Linked DNA regions of Caenorhabditis elegans. The main gene of each other region encodes a partner of the protein of the gene in region 2 in a complex. Each region holds a gene or a part of one and is shown on either strand. Other genes may lie near its edges. The genes, in order: clk-1 and coq-4.

Region 1 (4,157 bases), on a different chromosome or scaffold from region 2:
TGCTGAAGTTTTTTTGTTACCGTAACCTGTTACCGAATCAAATTTTTTATTAACTTGCCGTGCTCGTGATTAGCTCGCAATTTTCTCCGGTTTTCTTGTATTTATTCTCGAAATTTATAAAACCATTTTTCCAAAATTTGAATACTTTAAAATTTGAAAGTTATATTTCAAACTATAGTACTCTTTAAGGACGCACAACTTTTCGTATTTCAGAAGTATTTATCGTTTCGAGACCGGGTACCGTACTTTTGACTCAAAATTCTCAAAATTTTGCTTCATAAAATATTGAAAAAATACCGTAATCGCTTATACGGTAGCTGAAAAGTATTGTCCGTGTCAGGACCGAAATCAATAATTTTTTGGGGGAATCGCATTACTTTAAAATTAATCAATTTTCGTAATATGAAAAAAAAAACCAATATCTTCTGAATTCATATAAAGCCTGATTGAAGCAACTTTAAGGATATATAAAATTCAAAAAAATGAGAAAAAAAGTTCTGGTCATCATCAGAAGTTGGCAGACAACTGGAGAAGTCCCAACTTCTGTTTCCATTGTCCACTCGTTTCCTTTTTTTCTCGAATCCTTGTGTCCACTTTGTTTATCGCCGTGTTTACCACGCCTAAATGGCTCTCGAAGAAGAAAAGAAGAAGCAACTTCCTCTTTTTCTGACAAAATTCGGTTTTTTGGTTTCAAAAAAAGAACTAGAATATTGTTTATCTGCAGTGGTCAGTCGGACATTTCTAACGAGAAAATATTTTCAAAAAAGTTGTTTTTACAAAGAGTTGAGGATCATCTAGAATCTGGGGAATAGCAGCGTCTATGGGGATATTTTGCAAAGAACCATGGAAGAAAAGGGACACATTATTGAAATTGTTCAAATTTTCTCAGCAATCGCAATAGCTCCCTTGCATCCAGTTTGAATAATCCATTTGAGAGCCGAGTAGGCTGGAGCCTGAAAAATTATTTTTTTGATAAATATTTTTTACAATGTTTTACTTTTGTAAGATTCTAGATGGAAAAAAACAAATTGAAGAAAATTCACTAAAATTCACTTAAAGGAGCGTACACGAACCTTCATTCCATCGTGTTCTACTCCAGTATCATGATGATGAAGCTCCTCATCACGTAATCTTGTGAGAATTTTCAGCAATTCTTTGTGTGTTTCAGGATCGTCGGCAAGGAGTTCTAGAAATTTCAGAAAATTTTATTTTCTAAAAAACTTTCCAATTTTTCATTTTGGAATACCTTTCAATTGATCATTATAATGTTGTCCAATGAGTTCTTCAACTGCAATTGTACAAGCCATTGCACCTTCTTTTCCTAGAAGTGCTGAACCGACACCTGCAAGGTAAATAGTAAAATTTGGCAAAAAACGCGTTTTCTTAATTATCTGAGCGTTTTACAGCAAATCCACAAACTTCTTACCGAGAGCATAAGCAGCCACACTGAAAACTGGAGAGAAAACAGTATGAGGTACATTGTGTTTAGCAGCTAATCTTTCCATTGTATCTAAATGTTCTTTCTCCTCATCCCACATCTTTTTGATTACTGAACCAACAGATGAACCTGAAAAAAAAATTTCCTTATTTTTTTCCTTAAAAAAATGGAAATGGTTTTTTAAAAATTTCTGAAGCGATGTTATCTATTCGTAAAAAAAAAGCGATACCCGGTCTCGACACGACATATTTTTATTAAGTGCAAAAATATATGTCCCTTTAAAGAGTACTGTAATTTCAAATTTGGGCTGCGGAATTTTAATCGATTTTTTAGTTAAAAAACACATGTTTCTAAAAATTTGTTGAACTCTATTTTTTTTCTAAAAATAAATATTTTTCATCGGGAAAACGATGAAAAATCGATGAAAATCGTAGCAGCTGAAGTTTCAAACTACAGTACCCTTTAAAGGCGCACACCTTTTCGATAAGGAAAAATCGCAAAATTGCGTTTCAAATTAGTTTTCAGCAACGAGTTTTTCGAACATTTTTTGTTTCATATCCAGTCAAAAGTGAGGACCTTGCAAAACAGCCAACTGTCCAGCGTAAATCCGATCGGCTCCAAGCTCTCCAGCATGATCAACTCGAATGATCTTCTCTATAAGTGCTTGACGAGAAGCAGCAGTATGTGCTCCACGGGTTATTACACGGAACATCTGTATTTCAACGTTTTCAGTGGAATTTTATGTGTTGAAAACATTATCACAATGGTTTCTGCCAATTTTAAAAATGTCAACAAAAAAAAAATTTTTAAAGGAAAATGTATTCTATAAAATTAAATTGTAAAAAGAAGGAGCAAAGCTTTCGAAAAACAGGGAACAATGAATAAATTAATTAATTTAAATATCACTAGATGAGAATTCATGGGAAATGAAAATACAATCACAGCTATAAAATCCAGGAAAAAAGTAAATAAATTAAAGTTTTGGTGGCGGGAACACTAGAAGAGGTAAACAAATGTACTGGGCCAGCCCGGATATGTACAGAAAATACGACATGAAATTCAGTTTTTGGTTGAACTCTTAAACTAGATTGGATTGAAATACAAAATAGGATTGAAATACAAAATAGTGCGAAACCCGATGTTTTCAACAAAAATCTATAGCACTAATGATAAAAAACGCCGTCATGACTATGTCCATGATGATTGTCTGATCCTGCAGAATGACTGTGTCCATGATTATCATTATTTCCTCCATGACTGTGACCATGATCATGTTCGTTATGATCATGACTATGTCCATGAGAGTCGTGGCCATGATCATCATGTCCATGACTGTGTCCATGATCATTATGATCATGAGAATGTCCATGCCCATTATCATGTGAATGATTTCCTTCACTCTTATGAATATGTCCATTCGAATATGGAACTTGCTCTCCTGCAGACCATGCAGCGTCTTTGACAACTTGAACAGTCAGCACTGTGATTACAGATGAAAACTTTTCGGTTACATGAGCCAAAACATTCTGCTCATCCGCATCTCGTCGTACACGAACATCAACAGTGCCAACCTGAAAATAATAAAAAAGATTAAATTTTTAAATATTTTTATTGATTTTTTAACATAAAATAATTATCTTATAAATAATCCAATTGTATAAAATCAACTAAAATTTAGTGCCAGTTTTTGAGGCGTTAAAAATGGTTTTAAATTTCGACCATGTTTCGATTGCTTTTCCTTTTCGAACTTTTCGACCTAGGATTTCCTCATCCTCCCTGGCTCAATCGGTAACTGAGTTCAACTCTCCACCACGGGAAAATTTTTTGCGAATTTTTTCATCCCAAAAAAATGGAAACTTTTTTTTTTTGCTACAATTGCTACAATACATTGACACTTTTTTTTTCTAAATTAGTAAATTATGAAACGCGAAATAAAAACTCGAAAAGTTAGTTTTGAAAAACCGGACGTCTTATTAACAGATTTTTGAACAAATAATTGAGGAATTTTGAGAATTATTAATAAGAATTTTACTTTTTTTAAAATGTTTTAAACTGAAGATTTACCAGCGAGTTAAAATCCAGTTGCCAGAAACGTCCACTCTTCAACTCAAGAACACCGTCTATGTGAGAAGCTTCAGAAATACACCGATCAATTTGATTAATCAAGTGCGGAGGAGTTGTTTGAAGTAGAATCATTCCAGTATATGTTGATAGTGGATACATCGTTGAGAACACAGCAACAGAGAGCAGCAGACAGCATACTGGATCAGCCCATGCGAAGTCGTGCCTAGAAATGAGAAATTTTATATAATTTTTTTAATTGTCTGATTTATTGAAGGTCATAGCCGTAAAACGGTAATTTATAGGCCAAAATTATGTTTCAAATGAGGTGTATGATAGCTAAACTCACTTGAAATGTTCACATAACAAGTTCAGTCCAGTAGTCGTCAAGGCTAACAATACCATTGAATTGATTCTTGGCAGAAGAAGACGCGAAAGGCCAGGAATAACCCAGCACACAGCATGGGACAAATCAGCTGCATGCTCTTGCAAACTTGAAGCCGTTGCTGATTGAAGAACATGTTGAAACGGTTGATTTTTAAGAGCGTATGCTGAGAGAAGCAGCGCCACTGAAGATGCAGCAGAACCAACAAAATATGGCCAGCCGCCGATTTCTTCTACTTCATGTTCGTGAGCCGCTGAAGCATCATGAGAACCA
Region 2 (3,244 bases):
CCTTTACTGAAGAGAATATCAGGGACATCCGGTTCCATTTCCGGGAGGTCCAGAAGCTCCTGAAATTCGATAATTGAGAAGTTCGCTTATTTTTCCACAATTCCCCCGTCGTTCCTCATCCAAAACTTGCCCGTTTGCCTCTATTACCGGTTTCTTTCCATTTTTTCAGTTTCATGTACAATAAATCCTTTCTCACAAATCACACAATTATCAAAATCCAAAGAAATTGACTAAACTGCCAGTCGCAGAACGTTTTGGTATTACGGTAAACACAAAATTCTGAGAATGCGTATTCCGCAGCATATTTGACACGCAAAGTATCCCGTAGCGAAAACTACAGTAATTCTTTAAATGACTACTGTAGCGCTTGTATCGATTTAGAAATATTTTCGAAATTAAAAAATGCGTTGCTTCGTATTATTTTCTTAATATTTGCTTAATTCTAGTATTCTATCGATATTTAAATCCATTTCGAAAATCGACACAAGCGATACAGTAGTAGTTTTAAGAATTACTGTAGTTTTCGCTACGGGATACTATCAAAATTTATGAATCGATCCTTCGATTTTTGCAAAATCGAAGGATCGATTCATAAATTTTGATAGTATTTTGCTCGTCAAATATTTTGTGCAATACGCATTCTCAGAATTTAAGTGTTATCGTAATACCGTAACTGTTAAATGGTCCAAATTTTTCAAATTTAATGTCCGGTCCAAAAAAATTAATTAATTCATTTTTTCATTATCACTGAGAAATTCAAGATCAAATCTATATCACATATTCACAGATAATGGCGTTATATTTAGCTCCTTCTGCACCTCGCTGAGCTGCTTTTCAAAGTGATTTTCCCAGTCGAAAGCCATGAAGAATCGTGCATTCGTGGCCTGCTCCACAACCCAAGGGAGGTTCCGGTCGACAAGTTCTTGGCGATTTCTAGAATTTTTAAATTTTATTTTCATGGTTTCGTCTCTCTTTCTGCTTACTTTGTTAAAAGCCTGGCACCTCCAAATATTCCACCAGTGACACACATTGGAAGCCCATATTGAATTCCTTCGAAATATTTGACTGTTACCTCGCCGAGCATGTTCGTTTTCTGCTCCAATGCGATGTGGGTGAAGTCGTGTGTTTCGCGATACCTGAAATTTTGAATTTTTTTGTTATTTACGTCGATTTTTAAAACCTTTGCATAACATAAAGATGCTCCAAATTATCGATATACTTGACAGTGGGCCGAGCATCTGGAGATGTGTTCAAACGATCGAGAAAGCTGAAAATTGAAGTTTTTCAATTTTTTTTTGTTGTTTAATATACTTTCACATACTTTGAATACAATTTTCCTAATGTTCCATCCGGTAACTGTCTTAGCCACTTTCTATCAATTGTTCCATTTGAAATTCTTGGTTTTTCGAGAAGAAGTCGCTTTCCAACAACATCAGATTCCATTCTTTTTCGAATATTTTCTAAAACTGGTCCAATTGCAGTAGTTTCGCCCATCGCTGCCACCATATCTCCTCTTTTTGGATCCGAGATCGCTGTTACTGCTGATCCAATCCCGAGAAGCATCCGAGACAGCGGTGCCAAGGGAACATGCGATGCGTATAGCTTTTGAGCAGACATCTGATTTCTTTTCTTTTTTTTTCAATTGGAAAATGACTATAATGTATTGGTAGATATACGGAACTCTACGATTAAAAAACTCTACGATTAAGTGAACTCTTAATTTATTCTATAGTTATACACTTTATTTATACTTCATGTTACATGGAAGATTGTGAAATCACTGGGAACAATTCAAGACTAATGTGGGAAAGTTTTTAGAGAGAGAAAGAATAAATACAAATACACTATTGGGCAAGGAATAAACAATAGAAATTAGAAAATTATTGAGCTGGCGAAAGAGCATCAACTCCTGGCAGAACTTTTCCTTCGAGCAATTCCAAACTGGCTCCACCTCCAGTTGAGACGTGAGACACCTTATCTTCCGTGTTATACTTCTTGGCGGCGGTCGCAGTGTCACCTCCTCCAATGATTGTGATGGCTCCGGCAGCGGTGGCCTTGACAACTTCATCCATCAATGACTTGGTGCCTGTGGCGAATTTATCAAACTCGAATACTCCTGCTGGACCGTTCCAGACAATCGTTTTGGCGCGTTGAATGGCAGCGGCGAAGATCTTAGAAGATTCCGGCCCAACATCAAGTCCCATGTGGCCATCTGGAACACCTTCCTCGGCGGTGACGGTCTTCGAGGTTGCGTCCTCGGCGAACTTGTCAGCAATGACGAAATCCACTGGGAGATGGATTTGAACTCCCTTTGCCTTGGCAGCCTCAAGAAGCTCGTTCACAATTTTCGCTCCTTCTTCGTCGTACAAAGAGTTTCCGATCTTGACTCCCTGGGCAACTTTCAAGAAGGTATAGGCCATTCCTCCGCCGATGATCATCTCATTAACCTTGTCTAACAAGTTCTTGATCAACTGAATCTTGTCAGCGACCTTAGCTCCTCCAAGGATGGCCAGGAATGGACGAGCTGGGTTGTCGAGGGCCTGAAAATTTAATAATAAAATTCAATATGAAAAATTGGAGGAAAAAATTACCTTGCTAAAGTAGGAGAGCTCGTTCTTGAGCAAGAATCCACTTGCACGTTGTGAGTGCTCGACTCCAACCATGGAGCTATGGGCTCTGTGAGCGGTTCCGAAAGCATCATTGACATAAATATCGCCAAGCTTGGTGAGAGACTCGCGGAATTTCTTTACGGCTGCTGAATCAGCCTTAACCTTGGCACCGGATGCATCGACTCCTTTGCCCTCCTCTTCCAGATGATAACGAAGATTTTCAAGGAGAATGACTGATCCAGGAGCTGGATCGGCGCATGCAGCCTCCACTTCTGATCCGACACAGTCGTCGAGGAAGAGAACATCTCTGAAAATCATTTGTAATTTTTTTAAAATCAGATTATACAACAAACTTTTTCAAGAGAGCCTTCAACTCTTCAGCAACTGGTTTCAAGGTGTACTTGTCTTGGCGTCTGCCATCTGGACGTCCCAAATGTGACATTAAAACGACAGATTTGGCTCCGTTGCTAAGAGCATGCTGAAATTTTGAATATTATTGAAAATGTTGTTTGAAATAAATTTGAATTGATTACCTGAATGGTTGGAACAGCGGCAGCAATACGTTGATTGTTGGTGATTTTGCCATCCTTGAGTGGGACATTGAAGTCAACACGGATCAAAACTCGCTTTCCGGC

Evidence for each region.
Region 1: coq-4 (region 2) and clk-1 share a complex: the UniProt entries of both Caenorhabditis elegans proteins name them as parts of the multi-subunit COQ enzyme complex.

Annotation. Positions count from the first base shown.
Region 1 is NC_003281.10:5,275,887-5,280,043, reverse strand, and holds clk-1 (NADPH-dependent 3-demethoxyubiquinone 3-hydroxylase, mitochondrial), read right to left. Parts: upstream 2,151-4,157; coding exon 2,015-2,150; intron 1,568-2,014; coding exon 1,427-1,567; intron 1,343-1,426; coding exon 1,247-1,342; intron 1,187-1,246; coding exon 1,074-1,186; intron 954-1,073; coding exon 876-953; 3' UTR 700-875; downstream 1-699. Other genes in the region: toc-1 (similar to Transporter Of divalent Cations), read right to left, coding at 2,602-3,009, 3,503-3,725, 3,849-4,157. UniProt on the Caenorhabditis elegans protein: Catalyzes the hydroxylation of the 5-methoxy-2-methyl-3-(all-trans-polyprenyl)benzoquinone at the C6 position and participates in the biosynthesis of ubiquinone.
Region 2 is NC_003279.8:3,867,594-3,870,837, reverse strand, and holds coq-4 (Ubiquinone biosynthesis protein coq-4, mitochondrial), read right to left. Parts: upstream 1,625-3,244; 5' UTR 1,618-1,624; coding exon 1,322-1,617; intron 1,268-1,321; coding exon 1,181-1,267; intron 1,137-1,180; coding exon 984-1,136; intron 934-983; coding exon 774-933; 3' UTR 724-773; downstream 1-723. Other genes in the region: pgk-1 (putative phosphoglycerate kinase), read right to left, coding at 1,881-2,540, 2,592-2,916, 2,963-3,087, 3,143-3,244. UniProt on the Caenorhabditis elegans protein: Lyase that catalyzes the C1-decarboxylation of 4-hydroxy-3-methoxy-5-(all-trans-polyprenyl)benzoic acid into 2-methoxy-6-(all-trans-polyprenyl)phenol during ubiquinone biosynthesis.